Caenorhabditis elegans: one gene and its partner. The protein of the gene in region 2 purifies or fractionates together with the protein of the main gene of each other region. This does not show direct contact. Each region holds a gene or a part of one and is shown on either strand. Other genes may lie near its edges.

Evidence for each region.
Region 1: the proteins of thoc-3 (region 2) and manf-1 fractionate together in Caenorhabditis elegans (co-fractionation; one large-scale study listed by BioGRID). This does not show direct contact.

What each region holds. Positions count from the first base shown.
Region 1 is NC_003282.8:2,926,878-2,930,484, forward strand, and holds manf-1 (Mesencephalic astrocyte-derived neurotrophic factor homolog), read right to left. Parts: upstream 1,545-3,607; 5' UTR 1,542-1,544; coding exon 1,472-1,541; intron 1,410-1,471; coding exon 1,285-1,409; intron 1,213-1,284; coding exon 1,068-1,212; intron 1,001-1,067; coding exon 834-1,000; 3' UTR 640-833; downstream 1-639. UniProt on the Caenorhabditis elegans protein: Inhibits endoplasmic reticulum (ER) stress response. Retained in the ER under normal conditions and is up-regulated and secreted by the ER in response to ER stress and hypoxia.
Region 2 is NC_003279.8:8,969,485-8,973,791, reverse strand, and holds thoc-3 (WD_REPEATS_REGION domain-containing protein), read right to left. Parts: upstream 2,654-4,307; coding exon 2,549-2,653; intron 2,472-2,548; coding exon 2,322-2,471; intron 2,276-2,321; coding exon 2,164-2,275; intron 2,119-2,163; coding exon 2,012-2,118; intron 1,906-2,011; coding exon 1,634-1,905; intron 1,080-1,633; coding exon 830-1,079; 3' UTR 755-829; downstream 1-754. Other genes in the region: F32H2.12 (SRCR domain-containing protein), read left to right, coding at 138-282, 329-479, 528-655, 699-726; F32H2.10 (Integrator complex subunit 1 R4 domain-containing protein), read right to left, coding at 2,829-2,941, 2,985-3,093, 3,139-3,352, 3,398-3,477; spd-2 (Spindle-defective protein 2), read left to right, coding at 3,721-3,811, 3,855-4,094, 4,142-4,307.

The DNA of each region.
Region 1 (3,607 bases), on a different chromosome or scaffold from region 2:
TCGAAAAAATAGGATTTATGTGCATTTCAGAGTGAAAATTGGCATTTTTGACGTATTTTCCATCAAAAATAATGCCAAAAACTGAATTTTCGACGTTTTGAGCATTTTGAAAACGCTAAATTCGAGAAAATCGATATTTTCAGCAAAAAAACGCTGTAAATTCTCGTTATCCACGCGAAATCTTAATTTTTATACTAAAAATGTATAAATTTAACGGTAATTTAAGTAAAAAATCAATTCCTTTGCGAAATTTTTAGAAAAATTGGATTTCTGTGCATTTCCCAACGAAAACTGTTATGAAATCGCATATTTTTGCGGAAAAATCACATTTTTCGGTAATTTTAGTAGAAAATATCGCCGAAAATTGATTTTTCGGCGTTGAAAAAGCTGAAAATGGGTATTATTTTCCATTTTTACGTATTTTCCATCAATAATAACGTTTCGAAATCGATAAAATTGGTTTTTGGAGGTTTTTAAGGTGAAAATCGATATTTTCAGCCTAAAAATGCCAGTTTTCGACCGTAAATCTTCGAAAATCACATTTTTAAACTGATTTATTTCCTGGAAAACCTAGAAAAAAGGTAAAATAAATTATTAAAAACCGGATTAGAACCGAAAAATTGGCAAACTGAGGGAAAATCAGGGAAAAAAGCTTCATTTGACCAGACCAGTGGGAGGAAGATGATGATGAAACACGAAAAAATTAAGGGGGGGGGGGGAAATCAATAAATAAATTATTATTAATAAAAAATAGATTTCAACAAGTAAAATTGCAATAAAAACACACACGCTAAAAACACGATTATCACATGTAGAACGGCATGAAAAAAAAATCACAGCTCTTCTTTGACATATTTCGGCTTAAGCTCCTCGATGCGCTTGATGAGCTCGGCCTTCTCGGTGCATCCCTTGCACACCTCTCCCCACTCGCCGAGAATGTTTTTCAGCTCTTTCACGCGCATTTTCTTCAAATCGATCGTCTTCCAGTCGAGTGGCTTGTCTGTGAAATTTGGGGATTTATTTATTTTTTTTTTTTGATTAAAAGCGAGATTATGCGCCAAACGAACCGTATTTAAGCTCACAAATCTGAGCATCCTTGCCCTTGAGCTTCTCCAAACAGACTTTTTCCGTTGGCATCGACCAACTGAGCGGCTTGGTGACCTCGTTCATGATGGAAGTGGCCGATTCTGGGAGTGCGCCGATGTAGAAGCACTGAAAATGGATAAAAATTAAAAATTTTAAAGGAAAATTAGATTAAATCATTTAAATCTTTAAATCCCCTACAAATTTGTTCTCCTTGTTGCGAGTGGTCTCACAATGCTCTCTGATCACTTTTCCGATGGCATCTGGCTTGGATTTGTCGCCGGCCGGCACTTTTGCCATCACATCGTCCAGAACCTTTTTGCAGACTGAAAATTTCGCGATTTTTTATTAGATAATTAAGTAATTAAGCTTTCTCAAATTTACAAACCTTCACATTGTGGAGCAGCAGCCGAGGCGACGACAATCACCAGGGAGATGAGAAGGACGAGTCGGCTCATCTGCTGGAAAAAACAGGGATTATTACGGGGTTTTCAGGGCTCTGAGAGTGTAAATAGCGGGAAAACTGAAAAAAAAAACCAACAAATTATGCAGAAAAATAGAATAAAAAGACAAAAGAAAGCGGAAAAAACGGAGAGAAAATAGAGAAAAAGCGAACGCAATTCGAGAAAATAAGCTGACGTGTTTGCGCGCACCGCGGGCGCGTCAGCACTCTCCTTGGCGCGTTTCTCGATGTGGACGTCAGCGTTAACGTTGACTTTTGGAATTAATTTTGTAATTTATTCGGGCTGATTCGCAGTGAAAAACGATATTTTCCATTGAGAAAACCTCAAAAATAGTTAGAAAATCGTATTTTCCAACTAAAATTAGCATTAAAGATCGCGGGAAACATGAAAATTTGCATAAAACTTCACTTTTTACAGGTTCGCAAAATTTAAAATAAAAATGTTTGAAAATCAGATTTTTTAAAAAATCTTTTCTTGGTCCAGAACGAAATTCAGGTCTCGCGTGGAAGGGATTTTAAAGTCGATTTGGCGGTTCCCGTGGAGATCGGGTCATGGTGCATCGATCAAAATACTTTCTTCTTGTATTATAGGTTTTGTACCATTTTCAGGGGGTTTTCCAGAATTTCCAGAACCAAAAAATCCAAGAATTACAAGAAAATTCGATTTGAAAACACTAAAAAGAAGAAAAAGCGATTTCGAATTCAAAACTACTACTGTAGAGGGGTACTGTAGTCTGAAAATTTGCACAGTTCGCGTTGGGAACACAATATATTCTATTAATAGGCACATCTTGATAAAAACCTGGAATTTTTACGGTTAAAACTAAGTTTTTCAACAGAACATATTCGTGAACTTTCTTGATAAACTCGGTTCTATTTACGTGAAATTTTTAGTTTTTAACAAATTCCACATTTTTATTATATTTAATGCCACGTCATCGCAAAACTAATATCGGAACATTGAGGTTAGTTTAACAGTTTTTTTTCAGTCGAAGAAAAGTTGTGAGTTTTTTTTCTAAAAACATTGTATTCTTTTTTGCTGATATGAGGGTTCTCGAAAAGTTGGTGGCCGAGTTTTCTTCTGCGCGGCCGCGAATAAATAATTTTTTTCAAAGAAAAAAATTAGATTGGCAGGATTTAATGAAATTAGTTTTGAAAATTTTCAGGTTACTTTTTGACCATTATAAAATTTTTTGGTGGCCGAGTTTTCTACACCGTTTGAAAAATTAGTCCGTCGTCCCAACGCAAATAAACTGTGTCGTAAAGTTTGCCTTCTGAGAAAAATCTTTAGGGGTAAATATTTCAAGTTTCTGTGTAAATTTTTGACGCGGGAATTAAAATTTTTTCCCTTTTTTTCAAAGTTAGTTTAAAGATTTGCCCGTGTGGTAGAATTGGACTCATCTCACTAGATTCTCACTATAGGTTCAACCAAAATTTTACAGCTCTGCCCGCATATAAATTGTTCGGAAATTCAGATTTGCATTGTACACTGCAACATTTTCCTCACGAGGGAAGAGGAAAAGTGGTTTCTAGGCCATGGCCAAGGGGCCGATAAGTTTCAGCGGCCATTTATCTTGCTTTGTTTTCCGCCTGTTTTCTTTCGTTTTTCATCGATTTTTTTCGTTTTTTCTTAATAAAACTGATAAATAAATATTTTTTGCAGATGCTAAAACAATTTCCAAGTAAAAAAATCATGTATTCAGTGGGCAAGCAGCGGTGAAAGTGGGCATTGTAATATAATGGATTACGGGAATACAAAACCTAAATTTTTTCTTAAACATGATACATATGCTGCTTAAATGCTGAGACTACCTGATTTTCATAACGAGACCGCTGAAAAAGTTTTGAGGTTTCCAAAATTCAACTATTTTGGTGAAAAAGTCGAGATTTTCGCACAAAAAGTTGAATTTTGAAAACCTCAAAACTTTTTCAGCGGTCTCGTTATGAAAATCAGGTAATTTCAGCATCTAAGCAGCATATGTATCATGTTTAAGAAAAAGTTTAGGTTTTGTATTCCCGTAATCCATCATGTTGCATTGACCACTTTCACCGCTGCTTGCC
Region 2 (4,307 bases):
GGGTCATTATAGTCAGAACTGATAGATAAGAAGAAAAATATGTTTAGTAGTGTAGAGATTTTTTGGAAACAAATTTATCATAGGCTTCTTGGTAAAAAAAAATTTTCTGAACAATGAAAAGGTTATATTTTTTCCAGATCGCACATGTTCAGCAAATGTTCTAATAGATCGACGGGAAAGATTTGGATGTTATGTCAGTGATTGTGGAAGTCCGAGAGAAATATTATGCTCTGAAAATGGAAATGGTTGGCTTTCCAAAAAAGTATTTTCCACGGAATCAAGGTGAAACCAATTTTTGAGCATAATACCGAAGCTCTTCTTTTTCCAGATGTGAAGATAACACCCATATTCGTCATTATTGTTGTCGGCCACAATCTCAACTTTGCACGTGGCAGGGTGTATGGACTTCAACTGAAACATTTCAGAATATAAATTGCCAGTTTGAGCCTAATTCAGAATGTGGGAACTTATTGTGTACTGTAAGAGTAGAGTGGACTGGTTTTTTCTTCGGAAGTCCCAATTTACAGAATGGGCAACACAAAATACTGGCGGATTCTGAAGGTTTTTGTCGATCGGTGATGATGAATGGAAGATGGGGATCTGCCACGTGTGGCAAGATTTTTTCAGACAATTCTGATGAATGGTACAAGAAAATGTATTTGATTTTTAAAGATTTTCATTTATCTTGAAATTTTCAGAGATGCGTATTCGGTGATTGATGTATAGTTTGCAGTTGATTATTTTTAACTAGATAAAACGATTTTTTTAATTTATAGTATCAGATCAATTTTCGAGAACAAGAGCAAGAGAAAATAATTATGGAAAAATTTTACACGGTACTGTGTCCAAACGTTTTAACATGTGCTGCTTCCCTATTGTCCATACTATCGGAAGCAGTGTATGCAAGGAGAAGAGAGTTCGGATGCCAGGCAACTGAATAGGTCTCGCCAGTGTGTTTAATTTCGTGGCAACGTGATCCGTCTGGTACATAGGCAATATCGATTGAGTGATCTTCGGATCCAGATGCAAGAAGTTGACCATTACAAGAAAATGATACAGCTCTTATTCCGTAGTCGTGTCTGAAAGTTTTGCAGTTTTAACTTTAAAAGCATCTGAGAACAATACTTCTAATAATGGTTATGTTTCGAAGCTATGTCTATCATCCAATTTTAATTATCGTACATAAACTGTAATACATAAAAATTGATGATTTACGAAATATGATTTCAAAAAAGACGGACGGGAGTCTAGATAAATGGATTAGGTTGCAAACTTGAAAAAAAATCTCATCATTATTCGAATTTTGAGAGCATCTGCTTTCAAAAAAGTATGTTGGAGCAAAATACAAAAAATAGAAGTTGGCGAAAAATCAAAAAAAATTTATAGATTCGATTTTCGATGGAATCTCAAATATTTTGTGCTAAACTCGCAATTAATTAGTCGCACAAACGTTGGAGTAAAGCAATTCTAATATTTGAGGAAACGAATTCAAAAACTATTAAAAGCAACATTTAGCTTAAAAAGACTTGTAAAATATATTTTTTTAAATAAAATAACGTTTTAAGTATAATATATTTTTAAACATATATTTTTGCCCCAAAATACCAAAAAAAGTCCCAGTCCTGCTGCTTACCTAGGAATAACTCTTTCACAAATGAGTTCTTCAAGATCCCAAAGTGAGCAAGAAGCATCCGATGCTCCAACTGCCAATTTTCGCCCGTCTTTCGAGATCGACACTGCCAGACACTCAACTTGATGCGAATGGGCTTGAATCGAAGTCACAGGTTCAAGGGCTCCACCGGCGAACTTTAGAATTTCAACTTTTCCTCCAGACTCTGCTACGAATACGTGGTTCGACAAAGGGTGAAATGTTAGCTCGTGGGAGAAAGTTTTCATTTCATAGGACTGAAAATAATTAAATTTAAAATGTTTTGATCGTCTTTACAACTTTACAAGCAATCCTAGCAAAATCCTAAAAATCTCAAGTTGCTAAATAGCTCTTGAAACTCACATTTACAACTTGATAATTCCGAATGTCTACTGTATTTATCCGATTATCTTTGTCGAGAAATATGAAATATTCGTCACACGGAGACCAGGAGATGAAGAAATTTCCAACTGAAAGCCGATCATTTTTAGGAGTTTAAATTGTTAATTTGAAACCTCGATTTGAAATTCGATGAGTCGGTTTGCTTTGTCGAATGTCCCATACACAAATGTTTCTATCTGCACTGGCTGATGCAAATAAGTTTGGCTGCTTTTCACTACATGCTACCTGAAATAGAAATCGTTAACACCAGATGAGGAAATTTCCGATATACCTGTTCCACAGACGATGAATGACTAGAGCCCACCCAAGAAAATCTGAGACGACCTCCATCCACATTTGCAACGCTCACTTTTTTGTCGAATGCACCACATACAAGTTTTGTTCCATCACAATTAAATGCTATTGATTGGCATTGCTGGACCTGGAATAGAAAAGTAGTTTTCATTTCTAAAATTGATGAGTGGGAAAGCTTGAAATATATTATTTCTTTAGGTATACCTTCATATCGGTTGATCTGATTCTTTTGTACTTTTCAAAATATGTCGAAGCATCAGCTGCCGTTAACAGACGTGCACATCGTCGTTCTCGGGAAGACACTGTCATCTGAATTAGATTTTAATACTTTCCGAATATCATGAAATTTTATAAATAAGGTATAAAGATGGGACAAGTTAAGCCCATTTTTACCGAGAAGCAAAGAAAAATCAAATAAATGAAATACCCGATTTATTGATAAATGAAAACCCGTCGCAACTCATAAATCTAAACAATAAATCAATCATTGAGAAGCTTTGGTATAAGATTTTGATAGAAAACTTTCAACGTCAGTACATGGAGCTGGAAGTCTGTTGTATGCTATTGATCCGAACTTTATCAGGTTATTTGCTTCTTCTGCAAGATTAATATGAAAATGAGTTTATTACTATCGATTCACCTGGACAGGCGTCAACAAACTTAGGCAGAAGCGATAAAGCATGTTGAGCCACTTGAGGATTTGAATTTACAAGTGCCAAGTGATAGGAATCGAGCATCATTTGCCGTGGCTAAACTTTCAAAATTGAAATTATTGTCATTTTGATAATTCTTACACTTTGAGGATGGGCCAAGATTTTCAGACAAGCCGCAAATGCAAATTTACGAATAGGTGTCGTTCTGTGAGTTAGCAGCTGGGACACGAACTTTGGTGCTTTCGAACATCGTTCCGGATTACTTCTCTCGATTTTCTGAATTATTTCAAGCAGTTCACGATCATTTGGAGTATGCGATTGTTCGTATTCGAAGATTTGTTTGGACAGAGGGTCACTGAACAGTTATCGAATTTTTAGAGAAAACCTAATAAAAACCAACCTTATGACTTGCTGATCATTGGGAAGAAATCGAGATTGACTAGCAGCACGTCCCATCATTCGTTCATCAATATCACCCATTGTTTTTGTGTTTTATTTTTCGCTGAAATTCACAATATATTTAGATTTTATGTTTTAAAAACGACTATAAAAAAATAGTTATTTCAATTTGAATTGCAAAAAATATGATACAAAAGTACGCATTTTCGCGTGGCCGTGTTTGCGGACACAGAAAACAAACATTGGCGCGCCCGTCAAATGATTAGTGTTTACGCTTTTAAAATCATTCATTTTAAAACTTTTTCTATTCTCAGCGTATTAAAAATGGAAGATGATGCTCCAATGAATCTCTGTAATGAACAGTTCGAAGAAATTGAAGATAGTCCCATTGATGACAATGATAATGAATCATTCTGTAAGTTATTATACATGTTATGCAATTAAAATAGCTTTTTCAGACAATGCTGATGGTGATGTAGAACTCGAAGAAGAGGAAGTACACGAGACACCGAAAAACTTCAAAAATGGTGGTCGCTTCAAAACAAACATGACTAATCCAAAGGTTAATGACCTGACAACGATTGAGGAGAAAAATGAAGATTTGCGATCTGCCGCTAGCTCGCGCAGTGCGAGTCGTCCAGCCAGCGTGATGAGCGATAAGTCGTTTTCTAGTCAATTTGAGTTTCAAAGTGGTGGAGGTTAGTTTTAATCTACTTAAACCATTAATTTTGTTTCTAATTTTCAGAGAATGCCATTGAAGAATACACTAATCAGGTTTTTGCTGATGAAAACAAAGCTGACCTGCTTTTTCCTGAAACTTCAAAATTTATGAACGGAGCATCGCCGCCTAAAGACAAGCATCACTCCTGGGAGCCGTCCATACACCATTATGATAAGCAACCACCTCCCGA